Xenopus tropicalis: one gene and its partner. The protein of the gene in region 1 purifies or fractionates together with the protein of each later gene. This does not show direct contact. Links are inferred from orthologs where the notes say so. Each region holds a gene or a part of one and is shown on either strand. Other genes may lie near its edges.

What was found. The genes of interacting proteins can lie anywhere in the genome.
Region 2: the proteins of asxl2 (region 1) and ogt purify together in Homo sapiens (affinity purification with mass spectrometry; 3 studies listed by BioGRID and IntAct, with this or other methods). This does not show direct contact. The link is inferred for Xenopus tropicalis from reciprocal best matches to the Homo sapiens genes ASXL2 and OGT.

Annotation. Positions count from the first base shown.
Region 1 is NC_030681.2:154,172,621-154,183,292, reverse strand, and holds the end of asxl2 (putative Polycomb group protein ASXL2), read left to right. Parts: intron 1-274; coding exon 275-438; intron 439-821; coding exon 822-918; intron 919-1,181; coding exon 1,182-1,287; intron 1,288-1,443; coding exon 1,444-2,146; intron 2,147-2,732; coding exon 2,733-5,258; 3' UTR 5,259-7,164; downstream 7,165-10,672.
Region 2 is NC_030684.2:44,057,232-44,067,537, reverse strand, and holds the end of ogt (UDP-N-acetylglucosamine--peptide N-acetylglucosaminyltransferase 110 kDa subunit), read left to right. Parts: intron 1-3,564; coding exon 3,565-3,681; intron 3,682-4,093; coding exon 4,094-4,261; intron 4,262-4,613; coding exon 4,614-4,766; intron 4,767-5,222; coding exon 5,223-5,475; intron 5,476-6,994; coding exon 6,995-7,118; intron 7,119-7,970; coding exon 7,971-8,145; 3' UTR 8,146-9,116; downstream 9,117-10,306. UniProt on the Homo sapiens protein: Catalyzes the transfer of a single N-acetylglucosamine from UDP-GlcNAc to a serine or threonine residue in cytoplasmic and nuclear proteins resulting in their modification with a beta-linked N-acetylglucosamine (O-GlcNAc).

The DNA.
Region 1 (10,672 bases):
GGGTCACCTGTACCTGCAAATGTAGCCAGAAAGCTGAGCCCTGCTGCGCCATACATGCTGTGGGCAGTGCCTGACTGCCGGAGGGGGTTCTGCTTCACTAATGTGGGTGCTCTGGGCAGTATATATGGGTGGTATAGTGGCACTGTTGTGGGTGCTCTGGGCAATATATATGGGTGGTAGAGTGGTACTGCTGTGGGTGCTCTGGGCACTGTGTGAGGGGAGTATTGTGCCACAGTCACAGGGTATGACATTTACTCTTTACACTCACGTGCAGGACATATAAAAAGAACAAAATGCGCAGAGATCGACGTAGAGACACCGGACTCCATCTTGGTCAATACCAACCTACGGGCACTGATAAACAAACACACCTTCTCACTCCTGCCCGGGGACTGTCAGCAACGGCTCCTCCTCCTGCTGCCTGAAGTGGACCGACCAGTGAGTACCATCATGCAGTAACGTGGGTTGGGCGTCCCCATACCAGGGGGCAGGTAGTGTATCAGCCACCCCTTTTACATATGGCTTAAAGGAGTAGTTCAGTGTAAAAATGAAACTGGGTACAATAAAAAATATTTATATATATATAGTTAGTTAGGCAAAAATGTAATTTATAAAGGTTGGAGTGAGCAGATGTCTAACATAATAGCCAGAACACTATTGACTACTACTAACTATATTACAAATATGCACAGTCTGTCTATTTTACCCAGTTTCATTTTTACACCGAACTGTTCCTTTAAGGGGGAGTGTCCTTTGTAGAGAAGGCCCGTTTTGTTGTAGTAGAGACGGGGCTTTGCATATGATGTGAGTTGTCGTTCCAGACTGGTCCCGACGGCCTGATGAAGCTCAACAGTTCCGCCCTAAACAACGAGTTCTTTACCTCGGCGTCCCAGAGCTGGAAGGAGCGGCTCTCAGAAGGTGAGAGGATGGGGATCATGAACATCGGAATCCTAGAGGGGCCTCTGGCTGGGTTTAACCCCCTATATTCTTGATACTGGGCTGTTGTATATATTGTATATAACACCCAGACGTGCCGTTTCATTGGCGGATGCCTCTAATCTGTCTCAAACAGCCATAGCCATTGGTACAATGCATCAGCACAACACGGGCCAGTATATTTCATATGGCAGAGAACCTGACCAATAAAGAGTGAGGAATATGATTCTTTCTGTCCCATCCAGGGGAATTCACCCCAGAGATGCAGCTTCGTATCCGCCAGGAAATTGAGAAAGAGAAGAAGGTGGAGTCGTGGAAGGAGCGCTTCTATGAGAGTTACTATGGGGAGAAGTGAGTGGGACATTCCCATCCATTTTGTATCTTCTTTATTCACAAATCAGCACTGAACTGGGCAGAACTAAGAATCATGTTCCTGCCCCATAGACTCAGTGGCTCGGGGGCAAATTGCAGGTCCAATTACAACTTATCTTTCTGTTTTATTCTCAGCTCTGGGCTAAACCCTGACGATTACAAAGAGCTGATTGCAGAGACCAACGATACTTTGGCCAGAACCCAAGTCTCCCCTCCAAAGGAACAGTGTAAGTCCGACCCGTGCCCTGAACTCCAGCCGGTTGAGGCCAAGGTTGAGACCACAGCCCAGAAGGGTATAAATGAAGGCCCACCAATAAAGAAGGAAGATGAAGGCACTGTTCATGTAAAGGCCGAATTACCAACAGCCGGTGATACCCAGCGCCCCCCCGAAGTCATGCCAGCGGATACCAAAGAGAAAGTCAGCACTGTTCCTGTGAAGACAGCAGAGGGCGCTGCAGAGGTTATAACCCCAGTTCCCAGCAAAGAGACTGGGCATAAAATATCCCCTAAGCCGGAGGAGACAGACTCAGAGAGCCAGGGTACACCAACCCCAACCCCACTAACCAGTCCTGTCCATATGCAGCCTCCCAGCACTCCCACAGCCAAGGCTGCGCCGGCTCAGGGTTCCGGGGCAGAGGGGTCGCCAGAGAAAGTGGAGCTCGCAATCGGCACACGAGTCAAGAGGAAGCTGGATGTGGGCGCCGGGGATTCGGATAATGCTGGGAAATGCATACGGATATCGGAGCAGCAAGAAATCCAGCGGCCATTTCGTGACTTGTGTAGCCCCAGTACCAAAGGGACGGCCCAGGGGTCGGAACAAAAAGTGCCCCCACTTAAGGTAAAACAGGACTGTCTGTTCCCATTCACTGCTGTTGTCTCCACTGTTAAACATAACTTCCTGGTTTGCCCACTAGTAATCATGGTCACTAGCCCATAACTACCAATCAGATGTTTGCTTTCAAAGTCTTGCCTTCGCCACACCAGTGAATGGTAACTGCTTGGATGTCAGGGGTTATTGGCCCGGGGCAATAAAATTGAAAAAATGTCTGCAATGGCCTCTGTGTATGAATCCAGGGGTACAGGAGCCCTGGGAGATTATAGTAGGGCTCATTTACAAAGAACATTGCAGGGGCAAAGTGCACAAAATGGGTGTAAACCAGTGTTTTTTCACTTTGCACCCTTCCCAGCACTCAGTCTTAGTCTTTACAAAAGCCCCTCCCAGGTTCCAAGCTGCAGGACAGAAAATGTGCAAAAAGGCAATACAGAAGGTTTACAAAGGTAAACTTCCCCTTTAAACCAGAATTCAGCCTGCACTGCTTTTATTAGTTTGGACATTTCTTGTCAATCATTTAGTGTGTCAGCTAGTGATACCATTCTGTACTGACTGTGTACTAATGAGGGTACTATTTCTGTCTCTCCTTTAGATCCCTGTCTCTTGGTTACCTACAAAGCCCTTTCCCAGCAGCCGGGTCTCTTCCAGGCCCTATTTTCCAACCACCGGCACCAGTCCCAGCAGAACAGGAGCAAGAACCTTGGCAGACATCAAAGCCAAAGCCCAGCTGGCCAGAGCCCAGAGGGCAGCAGCGGCGGCAGCAGCAACATCAGCTGGCCTCTCTGTCGGTTCATCAGTGCCAGGGCCAGGGCCTGGAGGGGGAACCGGACCTGGAGGAGGAGCCGGACCTGGAGGAGGAGCCAGACCTGGAGGAGAGGCGAGGAATCCAGCAGCTGGCACCAGTGAAACAGGACACAGGGCCGGAGTACTGGACGTGGGAAGTACTGGAAGCTGGAGAGGTGAGAGGGGAAATCCAGCCCTTCCATCATGCACCCAGACTTCCAGGGAGACCCAGAACCCACTGCAGGTATCACCTGACAGTACAGCAAGAACACAGCTACTGCAAAAATCCAGTCTACAACCCAGACACCCAATAACAGGAGCCCAGGCATCTCTAGCCTATGGCTGTCCCTTACCTGCCCGGAGCAGTGCCAGCATCAGAATGCCCAATCCGTTATCTGATAGACTGGTGGCAACATCTGGCACTGTGGCCCCTGGGGTTACAGCTATACCTCCATCAAGCACAAGCTGCTCATCACCACAGAACCTAAAAGGTATCCGGGCCAACCTAGCTGCTCAAATCAGACCTAGAATTTCTTTAGGCACTCAGACAATCCCACCAAGGCCTACGGAGACAGTCCCACCAAAGCCTGCCGAGACAATCCCACCAAAGCCTGCCGAGACAATCCCACCAAAGCCTGCCGAGACAATCCCACCAAGGCCTGCCGAGACAATCCCACCAAGGCCTGCCGAGACAATCCCACCAAGGCCTGCCGAGACAATCCCACCAAGGCCTGCCGAGACAATCCCACCAAGGCCTGCCGAGACAATCCCACCAAGGCCTGCCGAGACAATCCCACCAAGGCCAGCTGAGACAATCCCACCAAGGCCAGCTGAGACAATCCCACCAAGGCCTGTCGACACAATCCCACCAAGGCCTGTCCTGTCTCAGGCAGTAACTTCTAACCTTTCCACACCAGCCAAAGCTCAGGCACCCAGTCAGCCAGCAGGTCCCATTCCAAGCACTCAGAGGGTGCCCATAAGGACGGGCTCTAGCATACCCGCCAATAACCCTCTGGTTACCCAACTCCTGCAGGGCAAGAGTGTCCCCATGGAGCAGATAATGCCCAGACCTCTCAACAAGATGGAAGTAAAGACCATTCCTATAGGTTCTGGTCAGAAGGAGAGGGTAACTAACACAGCTGGAGTTAGTGCCCCTGCAGGGGGCATCATGGTAAGTAGAGAAGATTCAGAAAAGCCCTCACACATGGCTGTCCAACAGCTGGAAAGGTTTCTTAGCCAAAATCGGCAGCTGCCGTCCAGCCAAAGGATCCTGCAGCTCTTCTCTGGAAGAGATCTGAGCAGTATTAGCCAATCACAGAGCCAGGAAGCAGCCAGCAGTACCGCCCAAGAGCAAACTCTCCAATCACTGATCAGAAAGGTTCAACAAGAGAAATCATTGGTCGGCCCCAATCCAGCTGAACCGAGTGAAAACACATCCGCCAGTCAGAGGTTCATGTTTGGCTTTGTGGGCCGGCGAACGTCTAAACCTGCCATGTCGGGGCACTACTTGCTAAACATCGCTACGTACGGCCGCGTTCCCGAGAGCTTCCGGCGAGCACAGGCTGTAAGTCCTGAGCGGGGCATCAACCTGAGTGACCCAGAGAGGTCTCAACCCAGAGACGATGAAACAGAATCCGTTACTGAGAGCGAAGAAGAAGAAAACAGTGAGAACAATCCAGAGGATAGTGAATATGCCCCCCGATATCTCCCCATAGCCGTAAGTCACCCCACCACACTCAGGACTGCAAAACTCGAGGCCCCCATGTTAGATCTGAAAGAAACGGTCCAGGCTTTATCAAGGGGGGACATTTATGATGAGTCCCACATAGCCAGAGACTTTATCCAGGCCGCCCAGGCCAAGATGGTGAATGTATTGGGCATAAAGCTGAAAGGTGATGCTTCTGAGCTGTTCAGGGCGAGCAAGTCCCACGAGGGCTCCCAGCCGCCCCATTCTGAGCAGATACACACGGGCGGGCCCGCCAGCCTCATCGGATCCAGTTACGGAGGAACCATCAATATCACCACTTCGCCCGAGGGAATGCAGGGGCCCTCCATCCCTACAGGGGGCCATCTCACACCCACCAGCGCTGACAATCTGGTCTCCTTCTCTGTCACCGTCACAACCATCCCATCCAGCCACATCGTAGACTCAAGTGATCACGACCAACCCGTTTCTGTCCAGGCCTTCACCGAGGACCCCGGCAGGGACACGGCCCCTTCCAAATGCTACTGTCGACTGAAAGCCATGATCATTTGTAAAGGCTGTGGCGCCTTCTGCCACGACGACTGCATTGGGCCCTCGAAACTCTGCGTCTCCTGCCTGGTGGTGCGGTGACGGCAAACCCACGGCTACGATCTCATTGGCCGAGAAGGAAGGACACAGAGGGTACTCTAATGGATCAACAATGTTGACACGTTTGCACTTATGAAATCCTGTATATAATATATATATATATATATGTGAGTGTGAGTGTGGGGTCCGAATAGGCCTATTTTGTAGATTTATAGGAATACTGCCCAAAGAATATGTCCCCCAAATGCACAGCAATACCCCCTAGCGTCCTGCCCTTAGACTCCTCTTGTCTGACCTGCAGGAACAGCGTGCACTAAAGGGGGGCTGGGGGGGTCTCTGGTCAAGCAATAATTTTATATTGTCCGTTCCATTGGGAGTTCACTGTCTTGTTGTCTGTCCTTCTGCCCCATTGCCCCAGGGTTGTTTTTATTTGTAGGAGCAGATGTAGGAAGATAAAGCGTTTTTAAAGACTGAATTATGAGCACTTACTGTGGGGGTGGTGGATCCCTGGGGGGGGGCACAGATCCACTTTCTGGCTGTAGCAACACTCCTCTTCATTTAGGGACTGGGGATTGGGATCAGATTCCAAACAATCTTAGGGGTGTATTTATTAAAATGGGAGACAAACATCACCCGTGATTTGTCTCTGTCTTCAATTTTAATAAATACACAATCACTTTCTATGAGAAAATCATCAATAGATCCTAATGTTATTGGGCATCACTGTGATTTTATCTTGTGTCTTCTCCCTTATTACTGACCCCAATTCCTTTATTTAGTGCTGTAGGGAAAAGCACATTGGGCATTCAGCAATCTAACTGTCCTGGGCTGACCCGGGGTAACTGCCAGGAAGCAATTGCCCCTTCTTGAGGCACATTGAAACCACTGACAGATGGAGTTTATTCAGCTTCCTCTGAATCATCTAGAAGTTAGGTAGGAATGGGTAGCTGTGATGTTTGGAGTTATAGTTCAGCAGCAGCTGTGGGACACGCCCACAGAACTGTTTGCACCTCCCAAAGGACACGCCCCATATTTTGTAAATAAAAGGTGTTTTTAGTAATGATCGTGATTTGTAATGACAATTAGTGTTTAGCCTGATAGCAATAAAACGAACGGAAAACGGGTTTAAACGACAGGGTTTGTAAGAGAATGGGGGGCCCCCGAGAGAGCCCATTGGTTATCCATGTGAGCCACTACCAACAGGGGGGCAGAGTGATCTAACAACACTAAGTGACCTGGTTGCTATGGACTCAGAACTGCCCCGGAGTTCAGGTGCAATGGCTGAAATGTATTATTTTAAAATAAATGTCATTTTATCTCAGTTTTGTTACTTGAATGAGAGACGTTGGAGAAGTTTGGAGAGTCTGATACAAAGGGAAGGGCCCCATTCATATATTGCCGTGTGTGTGGCCCCTGCCTGGGGCCCATCTCCAGACAGAGTTGGCAGCTTATCAGCCCCTGTATGGGCCCCTCCTGATGCTCTGCCTAACCACTGTCTCGCTATAGAGCAGCCACATATCCCTCAGTCAGCTTAGTCCCTATGGGGTATGGCTCTAGAGCAGTCCAGTTCTGTGTATTTGCTGTGTGCTAGACCAGTTCAGTTCTGTGCATTCGATGGCTCTAGAACATTAGGTGTTGCTTATGTTCTCAGATAAAAGTCACGTTCTGCACCTTCGCTGAGTGGTGGAACAACTTGTGTTCTAGAGCTTAGACCTTCCTTTGTTGCCAGAAACCCAGATAAGGCTCTGTGCTGGTCCGGTCTCTTCATGGACCCCCATCTTTCAGGTGTAACCTCTCACTTATCGCCTCTTCTGATTCTCACTCATTCTAACTGACACTTAGCCCTGAGTAAATGCCATTCAGATTTAGTACCCACAGTAGGAGCCGCTGTACCGTTGCTACACAATATACTGGGTAGGGAGTGGATTTATTGCCATGGCTGCTATGTTACTTCTCATTTCCTTACAGAACCTCCCCCAGCATCCCACTGCAAAAGGGACAGAGTTACTACTCACATTTCATGGCGTTGCCCCCTCTGTGTTTTTGTGGATTCAGGGTATGAAATGGCCATAGATTGTCTGTCTGAGCTTTTCAACTTCACATTTTTTTTCAGTAGATATAATAACGCTCATTGATATTTCTCTGTCCCTGTGTTACTTAATCTGCAGCGTTGTACCTGGAGCCATCTTTAGTGGTAGTAAGTAAGGGGCAACTGTCTGATGTCTGCCCCTAGTGATCCCCACAGTCCCGAAGTTCAAGGTAAGAAGAGAGTAGCAAATCTCAATAATGCACAATAATAATAGCCTCTGGGAAGGGACTGGGGCTGTGGGATAGCAGGTATAGTAGGGAGAGATGGTACCTATAGTAGCAGTGGGGGGATAATAGCCTCTGGGAAGGGACTGGGGCTGTGGGATAGCAGGTATAGTAGGGAGAGATGGTGCCTATAGTAGCAGTGGGGGGATAATAGCCTCTGGGAAGGGACTGGGGCTGTGGGATAGCAGGTATAGTAGGGAGAGATGGTGCCTATAGTAGCAGTGGGGGGATAATAGCCTCTGGGAAGGGACTGGGGCTGTGGGATAGCAGGTATAGTAGGGAGAGATGGTGCCTATAGTAGCAGTGGGGGGATAATAGCCTCTGGGAAGGGACTGGGGCTGTGCGATAGCAGGTATAGTAGGGAGAGATGGTGCCTATAGTAGCAGTGGGGGGATAATAGCCTCTGGGAAGGGACTGGGGCTGTGGGATAGTAGGGAGAGATGGTGCCTATAGTAGCAGTGGGATAATAGCCTCTGGGAAGGGACTGGGGCTGTGGGATAGCAGGTATAGTAGGGAGAGATGGTGCCTATAGTAGCAGTGGGGGATAATAGCCTCTGGGAAGGGACTGGGGCTGTGGGATAGCAGGTATAGTAGGGAGAGATGGTGCCTATAGTAGCAGTAGGGGGGATAATAGCCTCTGGGAAGGGACTGGGGCTGTGGGATAGCAGGTATAGTAGGGAGAGATGGTGCCTATAGTAGCAGTGGGGGGGATAATAGCCTCTGGGAAGGGACTGGGGCTGTGGGATAGCAGTTATAGTAGGGAGAGATGGTGCCTATAGTAGCAGTGGGGGGGATAATAGCCTCTGGGAAGGGACTGGGGCTGTGGGATAGCAGGTATAGTAGGGAGAGATGGTGCCTATAGTAGCAGTGGGGGGATAATAGCCTCTGGGAAGGGACTGGGGCTGTGGGATAGCAGGTATAGTAGGGAGAGATGGTGCCTATAGTAGCAGTGGGGGGATAATAGCCTCTGGGAAGGGACTGGGGCTGTGGGATAGCAGGTATAGTAGGGAGAGATGGTGCCTATAGTAGCAGTGGGGGGATAATAGCCTCTGGGAAGGGACTGGGGCTGTGGGATAGCAGGTATAGTAGGGAGAGATGGTGCCTATAGTAGCAGTGGGGGGGATAATAGCCTCTGGGAAGGGACTGGGGCTGTGGGATAGCAGGTATAGTAGGGAGAGATGGTGCCAATAGTAGCAGTAGGGGGGATAATAGCCTCTGGGAAGGGACTGGGGCTGTGGGATAGCAGGTATAGTAGGGAGAGATGGTGCCTATAGTAGCAGTGGGGGGGATAATAGCCTCTGGGAAGGGACTGGGGCTGTGGGATAGCAGGTATAGTAGGGAGAGATGGTGCCTATAGTAGCAGTAGGGGGGATAATAGCCTCTGGGAAGGGACTGGGGCTGTGGGATAGCAGGTATAGTAGGGAGAGATGGTGCCTATAGTAGCAGTGGGGGGATAATAGCCTCTGGGAAGGGACTGGGGCTGTGGGATAGCAGGTATAGTAGGGAGAGATGGTGCCTATAGTAGCAGTGGGGGGATAATAGCCTCTGGGAAGGGACTGGGGCTGTGGGATAGCAGGTATAGTAGGGAGAGATGGTGCCTATAGTAGCAGTGGGATAATAGCCTCTGGGAAGGGACTGGGGCTGTGGGATAGCAGGTATAGTAGGGAGAGATGGTGCCTATAGTAGCAGTGGGGGGGATAATAGCCTCTGGGAAGGGACTGGGGCTGTGGGATAGCAGGTATAGTAGGAGAGATGGTGCCTATAGTAGCAGTGGGGGGATAATAGCCTCTGGGAAGGGACTGGGGCTGTGGGATAGCAGGTATAGTAGGGAGAGATGGTGCCTATAGTAGCAGTGGGGGGATAATAGCCTCTGGGAAGGGACTGGGGCTGTGGGATAGCAGGTATAGTAGGGAGAGATGGTGCCTATAGTAGCAGTGGGGGGGATAATAGCCTCTGGGAAGGGACTGGGGCTGTGGGATAGCAGGTATAGTAGGGAGAGATGGTGCCTATAGTAGCAGTGGGGGGATAATAGCCTCTGGGAAGGGACTGGGGCTGTGGGATAGCAGGTATAGTAGGGAGAGATGGTGCCTATAGTAGCAGTGGGGGGGATAATATCCTCTTAGAAGGGGTATAGTAGAGAGAGATGGTGCCACAGGTACTGGGGGTGCTGGGAATCCCTATTTAGTACAGGTTGGAGCAGTTGAGTTGATCAGAAACATCATGTGACAGGACAGACTGTTCCCAATGATTTGGTCGCTACAGGAATAAACCAATGATATGTAACTACATTTGGCTGCAAAGTGAGAGAAATAATATATTTAAGTAATATATTTGTGTAGTTTGGAGGAAGAGATCAGGGTTTATATACAGGGTATGACTGTTTTTAGGAAGATTTTTAACTGTGGAATTTACCCAGAATGCAATAAGATTTACAGTTTTTATCAGTGGGGGGAGAGCGTTTGATTCCCATTGGGACTGTTAATCAGCCGTTAGGGGACGTACAGAGAAGAAATCTATTTTTTTTCAGACTATTGTGGGAAAACCATTTAATGGAGACGTCTATGTTTGCGAGAGGGGAAATCTGTATCTGTGTATATAATTTTATGTACATTTCTAAAAATCACATATTCTTTATTTTAGAATGTATTTGTAAACAATTACAAAATAAACTCCAGATCTGATGTGATGATGAATGTGCAGCCTGCCGTGCTTTCTGCTGGACCCCAGGGGGCGATAGAGGGGCCCGGACTAAGCTTACTATTGGCAATGAGCCGATGGGCGTCACACAACCCATACACACACACAGGCAGCAGTAAGAAGTGTTCCCAACACTGCACTGAGTCCTCTATCAAAAGAAACACGGGATTTCTTGTCTCCTTTTGTGTAAACATGTTCTTCTGTTTCAGACTTCCTGCTCTCAGAAAAATCCTGCTTCCCCTCCCATCAGAATTCGCTCCCCCTCCCAACTCTGTGTAATCTGAGCTACCAACAGCCAGAGCTGCAGCAGGGAAGCTACTGAGACTGAGCTAAATGGCAGCTGCTATCTTAAACAAACAGAGGGAGCTTCTAGGGCTGTTACTCAGGTATGGTAAAGCTTTCTGCAGAATATAGTGTTCTAGATGGCACTAATGTGACAGTAAAAT
Region 2 (10,306 bases), on another chromosome or scaffold:
CACAAACAGACGGACAAGTCCACCTCTGCCTGACTATCCGTCCGTCCCTTTGCTGCAAGCCCCAGTAGGAGGAAGACTGCAGCTGTTCAGGGCGCATTGGCAGACTCACGCCCAAGACTCTTGGGTCTGCGAGGTCGTAACACGAGGCTACCACCTCGAGTTCACAGCACCCCCCCCTCACCGCTTTTTCATGTCCCGAACTCCCGGGGACCCACGCCTGCTCCAGGCATTTCAGACAGCTATCCAGGACCTACAGGCTGCCGCAGTAATATCCCCGGTACCTCAGACCGAGAGATTTCAGGGATATTATTCCAATCTGTTCCTTGTTCCCAAGAAGGACGGTTCCTTCCGACCGATCCTCGATCTCAAGGGTATAAACAAATTTATCCGTTACACCAAATTCAAGATGGAATCCCTGCGATCGGTTATTGCGGCCATGGGACCGCAGGAGTTCCTCACCGCGCTGGACGTCAAGGATGCCTATCTTCACGTCCCCATTTCCCCTCGCCATCAGAGGTTCTTACGTTTTGCCTACCGCAACCTCCACTTCCAATTTACGGCTCTGCCATTCGGCCTCTCTTCCGCCCCCCGCGTCTTCACCAAGATCATGGCGGTCACTGCAGCAGTGATCAGGTCCAAGGGGGACTCAATCACCCCCTACTTGGACGACCTGCTCATAAAGGCCCCTTCCTTCCAGACAGCGGAGGAGCACCTCCGACTATCCATGGGCATCCTACAGGACTTCGGCTGGAAGATAAACCTTGCCAAATCCTCACTTCGTCCAAGCCAGGTGATGACGTTCCTTGGTCTGACCTTCGACACCAGGGCTCAGAGACTCTTCCTTCCTCCAGAGAAGGTACTTCGCATTCAGGCCCTAGTCCGGCTGCTTCTCTCATTACCTCGACCATCTCTTCGGTTCTGCATGAAGGTTCTCGGATCGATGGTGTCCTCCATCGAGGCCGTGCCGTTCGCTCAATTTCACCTCCGGCCCCTACAATGGAACATTCTCTCAGTGTGGCACAGGAACAGGAGTCTCTCCCAACAGACTCTGCTCTCCACAAAGACCAAGGTGTCCCTGCGGTGGTGGCTCAACACCACCAATCTTACACGCGGCCGCTCCCTCGCCGATCCCACCTGGCGCATCCTTACTACCGATGCCAGCCTATCCGGCTGGGGAGCAGTCCTGGAGGGACGGATAGCCCAGGGCTCCTGGTCCCATTCGGAATCGCTGCTCCCCATCAATATTCTCGAGCTTCGGGCCATCCGCCTCGCTCTGGTCCACTGGCAGACTCTCCTCGAGGGCCAGCCGATCCGCATTCAAACGGACAACGCCACCGCAGTGGCCTATATCAACCACCAGGGCGGGACAAGGAGCCATCAAGCCTTCACGGAGACCAGCCACATCCTCAGATGGGCAGAACTTCACCACTCCCTCCTCTCGGCCGTCTACATCCCCGGCGTGGACAACTGGGAGGCCGACTACCTCAGCCGGCAGACGATGGACCCGGGGGAGTGGTCCCTCAAGACCAGCGTATTTCAGACACTCACACAGAGGTGGGGCACACCAGAGGTGGACCTGATGGCATCTCGAATCAACCACAAGCTACCTCGATACCTAGCACGCTCGAGGGATCCTCGGGCAGAGGCATCGGATGCCATGACAACACCATGGTCCTTCAGCCTGGCTTACATTTTTCCCCCGTTGCCCATGCTTCCGCGTGTCATCAAAAAGATCAAACAGGAAGGAGTGAGGACCATCCTCGTCGCCCCCTACTGGCCGCGCCGGACCTGGTTCTCAGACCTCCTGTCTCTGTCTCAAGAAGAACCGTGGCATCTACCGCAGGATCCGGACCTTCTTTCCCAGGGTCCCTTCCTCCACCCAAACCCAAGGTCTCTGCATTTGACGGCGTGGCTACTGAATCCCTGATCCTTCGGAGAAAAGGGTTCTCAGAACCCGTTATCAAAACTCTTCTAGCAGCGCGGAAGCCTGTATCCGCTCAAGCCTACCACAGGGTCTGGAGAATCTACCGGGACTGGTGCTCCCAGGAAAACGTCTCCTACCAGACTATCTCTATTCCAGCCATTCTGAGTTTCCTTCAGGCCGGCCTCGACAAGGGCCTAGCCCTGGGTTCCCTCAAGGCACAAATATCGGCACTCTCGGTTCTCTTTCAGGAGCGCCTCGCCCTCCTACCGGACATCAGGACCTTCATGCAGGGCGTCACACACATCAGACCCCCCTTTCGGTATCCATGTGCCCCCTGGGACCTTAACCTAGTCCTAAGGGCACTACAAGAGCCCCCCTTCGAGCCCCTCGCCACCATTCCTCTTATCTGGCTCACCCGCAAGGTGGTCTTCCTTCTGGCCATCTCATCAGCCCGACGCGTGTCCGAGCTGAACGCGCTCTCCTGCAAGTCCCCCTTTCTCATCTTCCACCTGGACAAGGCGGTACTGCGTACTATACCGTCCTTTCTTCCCAAGGTGGTGACCAAGTTTCACATCAACCAGGAACTCACCATTCCTTCCTTCTGCCCCAATCCCAAATCGCCGAAGGAAGTCGCTCTCCACTCATTGGACGCAGTACGTGCTCTCAAATTTTACGTTCACCGCACGGTGGAAATCCGCAAGTCTGATGCCCTCCTGGTCAGTCCCACGGGCACCCGTCTCGGGCAACCTGTCTCTAAGTCCACCATCTCCCGGTGGCTCAGAGAGACCATTCGGAGAGCATACATTTCCAAGGGAAAACAGGCCCCTCAATCGATCAGGGCCCATTCCACCAGATCTGTCAGTACCTCTTGGGCGTTCAGAAACCAGGCCTCAGCTGAGCAGCTGTGCAAGGCTGCCACGTGGACCTCCATCCATTCCTTCGTTAAGTTCTACAAATTTGACGCATTTGCTGCATCTGACGCACGCTTTGGACGCAAGGTGCTGCAAGCAGCGGCAGTCTAACTCCGACTCCGCTTCCTGCCCACCGCTCATTATGCTCAGGGGACTGCTTTGGTATGTCCCCACTGTCCCTGTGTCCCCCAAGCTATTGTGTGAGAAAAGGAGATTTTGTGATACTCACCGTTAAATCTCTTTCTCCTCAATGGCTTGGGGGACACAGGGCTCCCCTCCCCGGAAGCGGAATCCTCTTTGCGCCATCTGCCATGTTTTTATGTTACATTGTTATAACGGTTTGTTTATGGTTACTTTGGTTACCTCTTTGTTAGACAAAACTGAGCCTCTCTGGGCTGCGCTGTGGGGTATAGCTGAAGGGGAGGAGCATTCCTTTTTTTTATTAATTCCTACCTAGTGTCCTGCCTCCTGCAGGTGGAGCTATACCCACTGTCCCTGTGTCCCCCAAGCCATTGAGGAGAAAGAGATTTAACGGTGAGTATCACAAAATCTCCTTTTTTATTTTTTTAGTAGTTGTTTGTAAAGTATGGAAGGCATTTCTAAGAATACGACTACTACTAAAAAAATAAAACGTTTTTTAATTTTTTTAGTAGTAGTCGTATTCTTAGAAATGCCTTCCATACTTTACAAACAGTCTTTAATCAACTAAACTAAATCTTGTTTCCCCAGAAAAAAGCTGTCATAGACTTTAAATCCAATGGCCATATTTATGACAATAGAATCGTACTCAATGGAATTGATCTGAAAGCTTTCCTGGAATCTTTACCTGATGTGAAAATTGTAAAGGTGAGAGTTAACTTTAGATTTTTATCAAGCACCATTCTTTGCTTTTATGGAAAAACTATTTTAATTGCATTTAATGTACTTTACCATGTTGAGGAAGTCCAAATGTAAATCCTGATGTGTGAAATGTTCTGTAAGGTCTGTATTGCCTTCTATTGATTATGTCCTTACCTTGCCTTTTAAGTGAATATAGCCATATTATGATAGCGGGGGAGGTAGTGGTCAGGTATGGCATAAAAACAGTAGTTGTGGGTACCAAGAGATTGTATAAACTAGAATGTTTATAATATGACCCTAATTCAAAAGTTTGACATTTAGCTGCCCATAGTATAGGATATTGCTATTTTTGAGGTATAGTTGTTTTCTTTGCCTCCTTGCTTTCTTAAAAAAAAATTTTTTTCCCCCCTTCCAAAAGATGAAAGGCCCAGACAGCGGAGATAATGTTGACAATAACTCTGCACTAAACATGCCAGTGATTCCTATGAGCAGCATAGCAGAAGCTGTGATTGAAATGATAAATCGGGGGCAAATTCAGATAACAATAAATGGATTCAACATCAGCAATGGTCTTGCAACAACCCAGGTAAATTTAACAAAGTGATGTGGAATGTAATATAAATGATGGCTAAATATATAGTATAAGTATAATGTTCTTACCTATAAGTGTGGATCTGCTTCAAAAAGAAGCAAGCCTGGAATTTGAGTCATTGTATAGCTTATTCTGATTATGAACACCACTCCGTGTGTTTACAACTTGGACTATTGGTGTTCATTTAATTGTTAAAGTGTTCCCAGTGAAGGCTGAGGCTGACTGCTGTCAGAGTGGGGTTCTGATTTGTTGAACCGGAAGTTACTTTACTTATTATTTTCTAATTAAAACAATAGGCAAAAAATGTTGAAAAAGATGGCATAACAAAGTGATTTGAATATTTTAGATAAATAACAAAGCGGCGACAGGTGAAGAAGTGCCTCGTACCATCATTGTCACCACACGCTCACAGTATGGACTCCCTGAGGATGCGGTTGTGTACTGCAACTTTAACCAGCTTTACAAGATTGACCCTTCCACATTACAGATGTGGGCAAATGTAAGTATATTGTGTTATACAACTGCCATCAATTAAGGTTCTGTTTTATACCTTTTGGTTAGTGAAAGGCACAGCTAGGGGAAAATAACAGCATTTTTGGCCAAACCCTTGTGTGTAGGTTGTCTAGTGTATGTATCGGGTAAATGTAGCCTCAAAGAGCAATTGTTTTTTGACCACAAGGGTCAGCAACACCCACACCCTGTGGATTTACTTAATGCCAAATATATGTACTATGTTGGATCACATTTTGATCAAACTTGCTATACAGGAAGAGCAGATTCTATCTAGATGTGTTGCTGATAGCTTGCCATACCTTACAGTGATACATCATTATCATGTTTTCTCAGTAAATGGTGACAGGGATGTCATGTGACACTTTATCTAAACACAGTCAACTATTTCTTATCCTTATGCACTGCTTAACATCTTCCATTTGAAACTTTTTGTTTGTCCTAGATTTTAAAGCGTGTCCCAAACAGTGTTCTGTGGCTATTAAGATTCCCAGCAGTTGGGGAGCCAAATATCCAGCAGTACGCACAGAATATGGGCCTTCCCCAGTCCCGGATCATTTTCTCTCCAGTTGCTCCTAAGGAAGAACATGTGCGCAGAGGACAGTTGGCTGATGTTTGCTTAGATACACCTCTCTGCAATGGGCACACCACTGGCATGGATGTGCTCTGGGCAGGAACACCCATGGTCACCATGCCAGGTAAAGAGTCTGCAGAAAGTTTCTTTATGCAACAAAAATTAGTATTGTTTTAGGTAATTTAAGTTTTGGTGTGACAGATATTTAATTGTAGCTGTTAGTTATATGTCTCAAGAAGTCTATGAAGATTTTCATTCATCCAGGTCATGGTATATCTAGTATAAATAAATTTGAAGCAACTGGACTTGTTTGGTAATCATTGAAGACGTTTCACTACTCATCCGAGCAGCTTCTTCAGTTCAAGAAGTAAACATGCAGTTGGTGTTAAGCCAGTTAAATTGTATCTGCTGCAACCAGCATTCATACGCATACTGCAGTTCTGTGGTACCCAACTTCATATATACATGCTTATTGACCATTTTAATTATGAAACTTGTATGGTTTTTATATTTCAGTTTTAGCCTTATACATGACTGTGTTTCTAAGTTCCTCCTGGTTCTTGTTAGATTACAATTGCCTGTATACTGTATACTCCCTGCATAATAGGATTCTGCCCGTGTGGAAGCCAGCAAAGGATTTGGCTGTTTATATTATTTCATGTTAAACTAACTCAGTTTATTGCGCGAGAGGTGACCTGTTGCTTTATAATAATAAATTAGTAATGAAAAGATTAGACAGAATGTATTTTCCTCTGAAAGGGCATCTATTGCCTAAAATATTTTCTTTTCCCACCAGTGGTGCAGGTTAACAGAGCATGTGCTCCAGAAACAAAAGGATTTTTGAATGGGTGCTCTGACTCCTACACCGGAAGGAAGCTTGCGGTGGGGGTGACCAAGTTGGGGCACATACATGCACCCCAGTTTACTTGTTATGCCCCCCCTCCCCATCACATGCATAATAAATGAGCTGGGGCATTTACTTTATTTTAAACATGCACGTTCCCCCAGCATGCACCTGGGTCTGCACCCAGAGCTGGGCCCAAAGCTCTCTGTATGTGAGATTAAATAGAAAAATACTATATCCCTCATCTGTAGTAAGGGCTGTGCTTTAAATCTAGGTATAATAACCAGGGCTGTGGAGTCGGAGGCAATTTTGGGTACCTGGAGTCGGAGTCGGCAAAAAATGAACCGACTCTGACTCCCACTAAATTTAAATGGGAATAAAAAAAAAAATAAAGCAAGTTTAAATGTCCCAATTCACAAACAGTCATAATTAATGACTTCTCTGCTATAAGAATAAAGCCCACGTGAGTGACCATAAAGCTTTTCATTGACTGTATGAATGTATAAATACATTAGCATATTAAAAACAGAGGAGTCGGAAGTATCAAACTGAGGAGTCGGAGAATTTATCTACCGACTCCACAGCCCTGATAATAACTGTCAGCCCCACTTGGAAACCGTTACTGGGGAAAAAAATGTGTGTTTTGTTTTTTTTTTTTGTTTTGGTTTTTTTTTCCGAATATGTGATGTCAGTAACTTGAATTATACTCTGTATGGTAACATCTCTTGGTTTTCCTTGATTACATGTGTATGCAGATTTGATGGTATGGCTAACATTTACTGCATTTCCCTGTCTGTAGGCGATACACTTGCATCACGAGTGGCTGCTTCACAGCTTACATGTCTCGGCTGCCCCGAGCTAATCGCTAAAGGCAGGCAAGATTATGAGGACACTGCTGTGAAACTCGGAACTGATCTGGAATAGTAAGTTAAAAGTATTATGGTATAGGATTTATTCAAAATGTAACACTGCAAATCAAGGAAGGAGGAACATAATTCCTCCTGTCTGTTACACAAGTCTGAAAACAAAAGAAAAATCAGGCTAAAAGGTATGGGAAAGAAATACGCTCAGTGACAGCAGGGGAAACCATACCATTCATGGTTGTCTTTCATGGGCCCCCTGGTTACATGCCCAGAAATGGGCAGGTTAGTGCTTCCTGCTTTATGTATGTAAGGCTGGATTGCAGCATACACTTAACCAGCCATATTTCTGTTTTCAAAGTAGACAATTCTTTTTTCCTCATCACGTCCCTCGGCAGCAGAGGTAGAGGGTTAAAGGGGTTGTACACTTTTAAAGGACAAGGAAAGGCAAAGTCACTTGGGGGTTCCAGAATGTTAGGCACCCCCTAGTGACTTTAATCTCTTACCTTGTTAGGAGAAAACAGCACCAGCCCGGGGTACCTGTAGCAGAGCGCTTTCTCCTTCCGCCTTTGTTTTGGAAGGACTAAATGACAGGCGCATGCGCAGTAGAGAGAAAAGCCGACTTCTCTGTTAAAGTTCCACTATTCACTCTACTGCGCATGCGCGAGCAAGCAAAGCAGGAAGGAGGAAGCGCTCACTGCTACCCCGGGCTGGTGCTGTTCTCTCCGTACGAGGTCACCCCCAAGTGACTTAGCTTTTCCTTCTCCTTTAACTGTCAGTATGATGTTGAAAATGCTATTTTGAGACAATTTGCAGTTGGTTATTATTCTTTCTGGTTTTAAACTATTTGGCCATTCAGCAGCTGTCCAGTTTGTGCAAGCAGTCATTTTATTAATGAAATCTTATCTTTTGCAGCCTGAAAAAGATCCGCTCTAAGGTCTGGAAGCAAAGGATATCCAGCCCACTTTTCAATACCAAACAATACACAATAGATCTGGAGAGATTGTATTTACAAATGTGGGAGCATTATTCTGCTGGAAACAAAACTGATCATCTCATCAAGACTGTGGAAAGCACTGAATCTGCTTAACTCCCTGCTAGCTTTGAATCTATTGGCTAACCATGACGGGGGGCTACGACGCACACGCAAGCCGACTCGCTGTGCAACAGAATGGAATCATTGAAACACCCGCTGGTCTCTAGACTTTTAGTTTGCTTTTTTTTTGTTCTTTTGCTAAACCTCCATCAGATTTTGCAAGTTGCCATCCAAATATGACTTCATGGGCAGTTTTACTGGTTCATGTACATTTTTAGCCTTGTATTGCAGTATATTTGGAATTTGAGCTTTTAAACCTATAAATTTGTGTTTGTCTGCTGGCTCAAAAATCGCAGCTTGACTCTCCTAGCTAACTGTGCAGGTTTAAAGATAAAAAAAAAAACCCAAGCATCATTAATGGTGTTCTAGTCCTTTTTTATAGGTTTTATAAACCACTTGTAGCCTTTTAATGTCTGGCATCTGTTTACAAGCAAACTGGTCTGTGTGTTCTTTTGGTATAGATGAGATGTCTTTAACCCTCCCCCTTAAATTGTCTGCTTTATTTGAATTTCCTACTAGCTTATTAATCTGTGTGTTTAGTACAGTGCGCTACGGGCAGCGGCTTCCTCTGGGCCGCAGGTCTGTGTAAATACGGGAGGTTAGCGTGTGCAGTTTGTGTATGAAGAAATAAAGCAGGTTTTTCTGTGTATGTACCTTTAAATCTTGCACGGAGGCCACTTCCTGAAATGTTTCACTGGTGGAATGTTGGGAAATAATGAAACTCGGGCCTATTCATTTGTGCTGATCTCGTGTGGATGTGAAATGCATTTGTTTGTGTGAAAGAGAAAGCATGTGCTGCCATTCTGTAGGAAGGAAAATGCCTCGGCACAATGCCTATTTGGTTTAATAAAATATCAGTTGATCTTGTGGGTTTTTTGTTTTTTAAAAGAAATTGTTGGATATTGCTCTGTTTCAGATGTATGGATTTGAGTTTTCTTCCCTCAGTAAACTTTTCAAGTGGAAAATTCAATGTTTCTTGTGTTTATTTTTTTTGGTTTTTTTTTAATCGGTGATAAAAATGTCTATTGTGGCACAACTGTTGTCTTGGCATCACCTGCTCAGTATATAATTAGGACATAAAGACTTTCTGTATATAAAGCTTTAAGCATAACCGGTACTATTTGTCCATATATTGCAATATACTTCAAGCTGACCAGCTATGTCAAAGTATGTATCTTCTATCGTATCAAACATACATGTAACTGAAAACAACCAATACATTTCTTATAACACAAAAAGGCAAACCAAGTGGCACAACCACATAACAGCCAGACCAACAACTCTCCATCTTTGTATTCTGGGTTATAATAAACCTTTAGTAGGAACCTAAACTAGTATGAACCTACTCCCCAGTAACAAGCTGTGCATGTGATCTCTAGCATAGATGCATCTTCTGCTGCCTGATGAGGCAGTACTACAAGGTAATTTGATACACAGAACATGTATTTAAAAAAGGGCAGCCTCATCCTGGCTGGAGACTTTCATCTCACCATTAATCCATCTGCAGACACAAGGCCGGGTGTGACAAAGGCTCTCCCCACAGTTCCCCACCCTCTGGAAGGAACATGGAACGTATATAATATGACTGATAGATATATTACTTTAGTGTGAAAAGAAGGGTTGGGCAAGTACGTATTATCTAAACAAAAATGCACAGAATTCACCCTCCTTATGTGGCCCCCATACTCGGCTAAAGGGAATTCCTTCTGATTTGTGATGCACAGGTAACTATTTTCTAGGTGTTAAATTCCTTCCTCTATAAAATATATGGGTGTTCATATTGTGGGTTTAGCATCAACCAGATGGAAAAATTCAGGCAGGGCACAAAGCCGTTAAAGGGTGGTTCCTTTTAGTATGCCATAGCAAGGCCAAATCTAAGCAACTTCTCAACTGGTCATGATTTTTTTTTTTTTATAGTTATTTTATTATAAGACAGAGGGTGCTTAGTGAGACCCATGGCCCCTCTACCCATAGCTTGAAATCCACGTTCCAAGCAACCCATTGCCCCCATCTCCCCCCCCCCCACGTTCTCTATCCGTCTACCATTTTTACATCTAGTGCTGAGAAAGGGGGTGGCAAAATCGGCAAATAATAGTTGCACAGAGCTGCGGCCCTTAGTTACACCACTGCCTGTAGCCAATGACTAGATGCTAAG